Linked DNA regions of Canis lupus familiaris. The protein of the gene in region 2 binds, or shares a complex with, the protein of the main gene of each other region. Links are inferred from orthologs where the notes say so. Each region holds a gene or a part of one and is shown on either strand. Other genes may lie near its edges. The genes, in order: MYO7B and CDHR5.

The links.
Region 1: CDHR5 (region 2) and MYO7B share a complex: the UniProt entries of both Homo sapiens proteins name them as parts of the IMAC/intermicrovillar adhesion complex. The link is inferred for Canis lupus familiaris from reciprocal best matches to the Homo sapiens genes CDHR5 and MYO7B.

The regions. Positions count from the first base shown.
Region 1 is NC_049240.1:24,340,503-24,344,301, forward strand, and holds part of MYO7B (unconventional myosin-VIIb), read right to left. Parts: intron 3,120-3,799; coding exon 2,938-3,119; intron 2,061-2,937; coding exon 1,930-2,060; intron 1,724-1,929; coding exon 1,566-1,723; intron 1,364-1,565; coding exon 1,210-1,363; intron 800-1,209; coding exon 644-799; intron 1-643. UniProt on the Homo sapiens protein: Myosins are actin-based motor molecules with ATPase activity. Their highly divergent tails are presumed to bind to membranous compartments, which would be moved relative to actin filaments.
Region 2 is NC_049239.1:26,066,133-26,070,486, forward strand, and holds the start of CDHR5 (cadherin-related family member 5), read right to left. Parts: upstream 3,078-4,354; 5' UTR 3,012-3,077; coding exon 2,957-3,011; intron 2,864-2,956; coding exon 2,688-2,863; intron 2,406-2,687; coding exon 2,355-2,405; intron 1,199-2,354; coding exon 1,106-1,198; intron 994-1,105; coding exon 892-993; intron 782-891; coding exon 671-781; intron 597-670; coding exon 426-596; intron 76-425; coding exon 1-75. UniProt on the Homo sapiens protein: Intermicrovillar adhesion molecule that forms, via its extracellular domain, calcium-dependent heterophilic complexes with CDHR2 on adjacent microvilli. Thereby, controls the packing of microvilli at the apical membrane of epithelial cells.

The DNA.
Region 1 (3,799 bases), on a different chromosome or scaffold from region 2:
CATGGGAGGGGGATCTGGGCAGAGCACCAGTGCCAGGGAGACGTGGGTTCTCATTCTCATACAGCGGGGGCATCTCCGCAGGGCTTCTCTGAGGGCACCCAGTTCCCCCTCCATGACCATGGCCGAAGCACTATCTCCCCTAGCCACAGGAGGCCGAGCTGGACAGGACAGGTGGCGTGGATGAGAATCAAGACAGCCAAGGAAGAACTGCCCCACTATGGGAGGGCTGGCCACATCGATTGGCAGGGAGTGGCCTCCCATCTTGGCCACCCTTGGCTGGGCTGGGTGGGGAGTTGGGTGGCTTGGGGCATTGACATCACACTCTGGCCTCCAGGCAGCTCCTCCTGTGCCCTGAATAGGCAGCTGTTAGGGTAGGAAGAGCCCATGGCTAAGACAGCCTGCCAGCAGCATCCACTGACCATCCAGGCCTGTCAGACCTTCAGAACCTCGCTCCTGGCTTCTGTGCAGGTTGCTGGGGGCCTGGGCCTGTCTCCTTAAGTGGACACCAGCTTCTGGAGAGGACACAGAACCTGGTTTCATGGACAGGTGTCCCCATTGGACCACAAGCCCTGGAAGGGCCAGATGGGCCCCTCAGCATCCATAGGCAGATGCTCCTGAAAGGGCAGGGAGCCGGCAGGCTCACCTCAGGATCCTCTGGATGCGCCGGCTGCAGTCGGGAGCCAATAGCTTCTTCCTCCGCGTGTCTACGAACTTCTGAGCATGAGGCAGCAGCGCCTTTCCCGGGGGGAAGAGGCCAGTGCAGAGCCACAGCAGCTGCCAGCCCCGCTCCTCACTGTACCTGGAGGCGGAAATGCCTATGAGCTCAGAAAGGATCCTCTACAGGCCTGGGCCAGTGGGCAGATGGGGTGTGAGGCCCGCCCAAGGCCGCAGCCAAGGAAGCTGCTGCCCAGCGGCCTGATGCCTCCAAAGGTTTTCACATGCATAAAATGGGGTGGGGGTACCATCGTGCCCGTTTTATGGAGGGGGGCACTGAGCTTTGGAGAGCCCGTGACATGGCCAGGTCACAGAGGAGAAAGGGCGGGAGAAGGCAGGGACCAAGGCAGGTCCGTTTCCCTCCCTGCTCTGACCACCCCCAAGAAGGCGCAGGACGGATGAGGGCCGCAGCCTTCTCAGTGCTGCTGTCAGGGCCGGGCAGGCTGGCGGCCCCCACGAGCTGGTGCCCTCGGGCCCTCCCTGTCCCCAGCAGACCTCGTGGTGTTGTGTGTCAGCTGCTTCAGGATCTGGCAGTAGACCTCATCCCGCAGGGCTGACTCCTGGAGGGCCAACGAGAAGATCTGGTCGGCGAGCTCCACGGAGGTCCAAGCCTGTCGAGATGGGTAGTCACCCATGTACCGGAGGATGCGTGTGGCTGTCAAGGAGGATGTGCCAGCTTGGCCGCCTGCTACCTCTGACCTGGCCCTGGCCCCACACGGCCCGACCAGCCCCGTGCGCGGATGCTGCCTCTGCCCTGCGCTCCCGGGGCCCGTGCCCTTCACAGGGTGGCGCTGGGGCCTGTGCGTGCGGGGTTGACACAGAGCGGGGCCAGGCTGGCCGGGGAAGGATATCAATGAAGATCTGACAGGCAGGGTCCCGGAGCTCGGCATTGGCGTGGACTTGCTTGAGCAGAGGCTGCCGCAGTGGCTCGGATGAGTGGGCCCACAGGTGGCCCTGTGTCCGGCCCAGGGGCAACATGGTCCTCCTGACTGTCTCCTTCTCTGGGGCCCTGTTAGGGATGGTGGCTGGTGTGAGGGCCTTTCTCAAGCCTTCTCTGCCCATGTGTGTACTGTCGAGGGAGAGCCCAGGCCCCGCCCTGCCCTCCTCTTGCTCCGCAGAGGCCAGGTGGACACTGCACCTGCCTCCATGGCTTCCCTGTGAACTTCAGGGAACACCGAGGGGCTGGCAGGGCCTGGTGGGGGCCTGAGTGGGCACCTAAAGAACTCGTAGGAGAATTCCTCCAGGGTGTGTGGCTTCTCCTTGGGCTGCTCCTCAGGCAGTGGCTCTGTGGGCTGCACCTCCTGGGCTGCCAGCTTCCGCTTCTCTGGTGACATGGCCAGCAAACTCTGTAGAGGCACAGGCCTATGGGTTCCACTGCCCACAGGGCTCTTCCTGTGGGCTCCTTCCTGGCCTGGTTGCTCCAGTGCCATGGGAGGGGCTGACCACAGGGTTGTACAGGCCTGGGCCTACCCCTCTCGTGTCACCTTGTGTGTGACCCATGACCACTGTCTCAATGTCTCCAAGCCTGTTCCTGTTCCTTAGGGAGGCTTCTCAGACCCACGAGGCTCCCCTTCCCCAGGGCACCTCTCAGGGGCATCCCGCCCCTGCCTGCCCGGTTCCCTACCTGCCTCAGGCCACAGCACAATGTCACTTCTTCTGGGATGCCCTGCTGACAGGGCAAGCCCCTATCCTATTATTCGCTCCCAGAACAACCAGTGCTTCTTCTTGGTGGTACTTTGTACACTAGCCATCGATTGTTTGCCTAAATGCTCCTTGAGGGTAGAGTCACTGTGGTGTTCAGTGCTGTAGTGCATGGGGCACACGGTTGGCACTCAATATGTGAATACTGGAATGCCTATCTGTCCTGTCTCTGTGGAGCTGGCTTTAGGGGCTGGGGTGAGTGGTTTGTGGGTAGGGAGACCTGGGCCCCCATGGGTCAGGTTTAATCAAGGCTGACAGTGGGGAAAGGGTGGGTTTGTTCCCAGGACACACTGTAGTGGGAGCATCTGTGAAGTGCCAAGCGCTGTGCAGGTCAGTACACAGATACTGTGCCAGGCTCGTGGTCACCCCAGAGGGATGACAGGGGCGGCAGAGCAGACCTAATGCCCAGGTGACCTCCTGGCTCTCTACAAGGTGGGGTATGAGCCCCTGAGCTAGCAACCAAGCCTCATCCTCATGTGCCCACAGGTGCCTGGGCTGAGAATAGATGAGCATATGAGTTACCATCAGCTGTGCCGAGGGCTTGGTGACCGTTGGGATGGTGTAGAGGCAAGCTGTGGGCACCAGCCCCGTCTTGCCTGTCCTGTCGTTCTGGCCCAAGGTCCAGTTCTCAGAGGCCAACAACCCCTGCTTCTTTGTCAGGATCAGCAGGTCCCCCTTCTTGAAGGGCAGGATGGTGGTGTCATCTGCAATTCCAGGTCACACACAGGGGCAGGAAAGCACCACTTACCAAGGGCGCTGCAGAGGCCAGAAACTGTGCTGGCATTTTGTGGTCTGTCTCCTTCAGGAGGTGAGGAAAGCCAGACACGGAGTGGTGGGCCCAAGGCCACTGTGAGGCTGAGTGGTGGTGGCCTTCCTGGCCACACAGCCCGGGCAGGCAGGGGCGGGCAGTCCCCAGCCTCAGGGGACCTGCTCTCTGTGCTGTGAGGCCTCCTGAGCCTGCATCCTCCTCTGTCTCAGGCAGTTGGCAGATGTAATGGGCAACAGGGATGAGGTTTCCCAGCACACATTTCTCTCCATCCCAGTAGGCCACCCGGCTCCCTCCTGAGGTCCTTGCAGTCATTGCACCCCCTAATTCCCAGGGGTGCTCAGCTCTTGCTGCAGTGCTGGCTTGTAGGGAAGGTGGCCAACACCTAGACCAGCTCAGGGCTCAGTCCCCCACCCCTAAGGTCTGTGACCCTGGACCATCTGCTTCCCTGCTCTGAGCTTCCAGTTCCCTGTCTGTAAATGGGAAATTAAGTGGCTGTGGGGATGGTACTCAGAGCTCAGTTTGGTGGCCTGGCTGTTGTCTGCAGTGGGAGGGAGTGGACTTCCCTGAGCTTCCTGCAGCTACTGTCCTCAACTAGTTTCACCTTGGGGACTTTGA
Region 2 (4,354 bases):
GAGGACACGCTGGTTGACGCCCCGATCCCCGTCCACGGCATAGATGGGCCCGGGACGCAGGACAAGGGGGGCTGGCTGCAGGAGCAGGGACAGGGGAGACACCTGGGGCCGCTGAGCGGGGCCCAGCGCAGCCCCCGTTCCCCACACGGCTGCTGAGCACGCCCCGTGGGGGTGAATTTGTGCAAAGACCTCGGATTGATCTGAGCGATGGCGGCCCCAGGAGGGACAGGGAGCAGTCACACCGAGGCTGCACTCGGTACACGTGCTCGGTACCATGGGGGCCTAGAGCCCGCGTCTGCCCCGCTGCCCCCGGCGCCTTGGGGTGCCTCTTGTGGCGGGCGGCCCACTTCAGCGGGTCCCCAGGGGTTCTGGCCCGGCCGCAGGGCCCCAAGCCCACACACCCCCCGCCCCCCCACCCCCAGTACCAGTCTGTGGCCTGTGGGGATGGCCCCCTGGTACTCGGCGTTGATGCAGACGTAAAGGTCTGAATAGGCGCAGGGCAGGAACCAGGGGGGCCGGAGGTCGGCGGGCCGCACGTCCAGGACCAGGGTGGCCGTGGCTGTGTGGCTGGGCTGGGCGTTCTCCTCCTGTGTGTCCTGTGGGAGCGCAGCGGGGGTCAGGCCTGCGAGCGGGGGCTGGGGGCAGCGGGGGGGTGTCCCGGCCTGCTCACCCGCACCAGCAGCAGGAGGCTCATGTTCTGCCACTTGTAGAAGTCCAGGGGCCGGTCCAGCCGCAGGGCGGGCAGGTTGGTGCCCAGCAAGGAGAAGAAGCTACCAGCACCCTGGGGAGGTGGGGGGGGCGGGTGCGACTCAGCCTGAGACCCTGGGGAACATGGAGAGGGGCTGCCCGACGGGAGGGTTCAGAGTTGGCGTGGGGGTCGGGGACACTGACCGGGGTCACCTCTTGGAGGGTGTAGAACAAGACGTCATCCTTGTCGGGATCTTGAGCCTCCAGTTCCGTCTCAGGGATGACAGTGGTGTTCACTTTACTGTCCTGGGGATGGAGGGGAGTGGTGTCTACACCCTCGACCCCTGGTCCCCCAGGCCAAGGCCCAGGCCACTAGCCCTGCTCTCCGGCCCCTCGCCCCCCGCCCCCCGGCTCTCACCTCGGGCACGTCCTCCACCCGGAGTTTAAAGGGGAACTTGGGTGGGTTGTCGTTGACGTCCAGCACAAACACAATCACCCTCAGCTGGGTCACCTGCGGGGACACGGCCTGAGCACCCTGCATCACACACGGGCCGCCGCGAGCCCGGGGACGGCAGGTGCCCGGGCAAAGGACTTGGCTACCGGCCGGGCTGGGGCACCGCCAATCCCAGGTGAGAACCACGGCGAAATGAGCAAATCGCTTCAAAAATAATTCCCGAGGAGAAAGGAAGAGAGGAAGGGGAACCCATATGTTGAAAGAGGCTCGGGAGGGGCACCCGGCTGGCTCAGTGGGAGGAGGGGGCGACTCTTGATCTCGGGGTGGGAGTTCAGGCCCACGTTGAGGGGAGAGATTGCTTCAATAAACACACTAGAGAGGAAGGGCCGGAGGGGCAGATGCTAGAGAGAAGTAGCCGGCGGCCTCGCTGGGTGGGCCTTGCTGGCGGCTCCGTGACTGTGGGGAGGGCGGGCATCGGGGGTCACATGATGCCCACGAGTCCCTTTGCAGATAATGACAAAATCGGAAGGACCGGGGACCGTGGGCAAGCCGACAGGTGCGTGGGGGCCGGGCTTGCAGCTCAGGACAGAGTGGTCAGGGGCCCCTTGAGAAGGTGGTCCTGGAGCGAAGGCCGAGGGGCGACAGCGGGAGGCAGGTGCGCGTCTGGGGAGAGGGCTCAAGGGCAGCTGGAGCGGCCTCGGGCTGGGGCACCTGGCGCTGCCCGCTGCCCGGGGCATTCAGCCTTGCCTCTGAGCGGGAGAGCAGCCGGGGCGCCGGGCGGGGATGCGCCGCTGGCTGGGCCCGATGGTCCTGCCACACTGAGACTGGACTGGCTGAGGCCGGGAGGGGAGCAAGCAGCCAGCTCCAAGTTTCCGGAAGGGAGATGCTGGTGGCCAAGGCCCTGGTTGGTCTGGAGTCCAGCTTCAGGCAGAGCTCACGGACTTGCCGATGGAGAGAGGTGTGGGGAGGGGGTGGGGGCGAGGGAACCGGTTGGGCAAGGTGCCTCTGTGCTGGGGGGTCTGCACCTCGGGGCAGTCTGGGCGGGAGGAAGTGGGGGCGCCAGCCCAGGAGCGACACTTGTAAACCGCACAGGGTGAGGTCCCCAGGGCGGGGCCCTGGACCAGTCAGAACAGAGTGCAGAGGTCCAAGCCCAAGAGCTGTGATGTCATAGGGTGGGGGCGGCGACCCAGAGGCAGGGGATGGGGGTACTCACCACGGTGTTGCCACTCTTGCACTCCAGGTGCGCCTCCAGCAGGGTGTTCTCCTGGGGGGCAGACGGGGGCCGGGTGGTCACCAGGGTCCCCAGCGTCCACGCTAAGTCCAGGGGCAGCTCCAGCCCCTAATGGCCCTATGCCCCTTGGGGCCAGGGCATCACCAAGCCTGGAGGCCCCAGAGGGGTCCGTGGATGATGCGGGGGCGGGGCGGCCAGCGAAGCGCAGACGGACCCCGAGCAGACGGACCCCGAGCCTGGGACAGCCCCGGTCCGAGGAGCGCGCCCGCCACTCAGCTGCCCTGTGTGGGGCCCCACCCGGCCCCCCGTCTGCACCTCATAGTCAGGAGTCACGTTGAGAAACAGCTCAGTCCCCTGGATCCGAAAGGCGAAGGGAGTGGACGACGACCCGAGGGTCACCTGCTGGCCCGCGGGGACGTCGATGTGAGCCAGGGGCCCGCTCTGAATCGTGTTCTCCTGGACCTCGAAGATGTTGTTGCTTACGGCGCAGACTGGAGAGCAGGAAGGGAAGGCTCAGTGCCCCCCACCCCCCCGCCCCTGCACCCCCCCCGCCGCCCCAACTGCCCCCGCCGCCCCGCAGCTACCCTGGGCCCGTGCCGTGGCCACCAGCAGCGGCAGCAGCAGGGCCCAAGCCCCCATCTCCGTGGGCCGCGCTGCTCGACCCTGTGCGCAGCTGGCTGCCGGGTGGCGGCTCAGCGGGCGACCTTTGCCCCACCAGGCACCGCCCCACAGTGTGATCCTTTACAGGCCTCGGCCTCCAGCAGGGGGGCTTTCGCCGGCCGCCGCCCAGGCCTGGCCAGCTGCCCGGAGGGGGCGTCCCGTGGTTGCCCACCAGCCCTGGGCCACGTGCGGGGGCCATGGCCACGGGGGCTCCCGGCTCAGGGCTCCATGGGCCTGCGCAGGGCCCGGGTCGTGCTGGGTGGGCGCAGCCGGGGCAGGGGTTGGGGGCCCAGGCCTGGCTCCCGTGTCTGCTGTACCCACCCGTCCCCCTAGCCCCGGCCGCCCCTTCGCTGGGCTCTCCTTCCAGAATCATCTTGGAGCCAAGTCAGACCCCGGGTGTTCCCTCCAAGCCCACCTCCCCTCCCTGCACAGTCTGTGTCCTGGGGTCGCCCCTGCCTGTGCTGGAAACACCCCACTTCCTCCAAGGGCAGGGGTGGGGGCGGCAGTGTTTCTGGAGGCTGCTGGGAGCTCGGGGCGGGGGGAGCCCGGGTCTTCAGGGGTCCCTGGCAGGCTCCTGGGCCCTGGCCCCTGCCGCCCTACCCCAAGGGCCCCCAAGCCCAAGGCAGCAGGGGAGAGGCCCCCCCCACGCAGGGACAGTAGGGGGTGTGGCCCTTCTGCTTCCTCGCCCTTGGCTCCTGGCCTCATCCCTTCCTGTGTCAGCACCGCCTCCGTGGCTCCCCTGGGGTGTCATCCCCCTCTGCACAGGCTCAGACCACACAGCCGGGAGCAGGAGCCAGGCTCACAGCCTCCCCCTGGGGTGCACTCCTGGGCCCCTGGTGGCACCCATGCCCGTCACCTCTTCCTGCCCGGCCTGAGCCTCCTTGCCCCCCAGGTCCTCCCACCGGCTGGCACTGTGACAAGGGGCCTCCAGGGCAGGTGTCCTGTGCCCCCCCAGAGCCCCTGAATGTTTGCTGAGTAGCTGGCAGGGATCCGGATGGGTCTCTGGGGAGCTCAGGTGACAGGACAGGAGACAGAAGGGAGGTGAGGCGCCCCACAGGCTCCCAGGTGTAAAGGGCACTGGGTGTGGCCACAGTCCTGGAGCCTGTGGTCGCCTGGTGCCGCCAGCCCCGCCCTGGGGGACGGCGCAGAGGGAGCTCAGAGGGCCACCGTCTGAATTCCTCTTTATTGGTGACAGTTACAACCCGTCCCCTGCCCCCTCCCGTCCAGGCCCCAGTCGGCTCCGGGCGGCGGCCGTGGCGGCTGCCGCGGCAGGTCCCTTCTTCCTCAAGGCCTCCTCCGTGTCACCTGGGCAGCAGGGATGG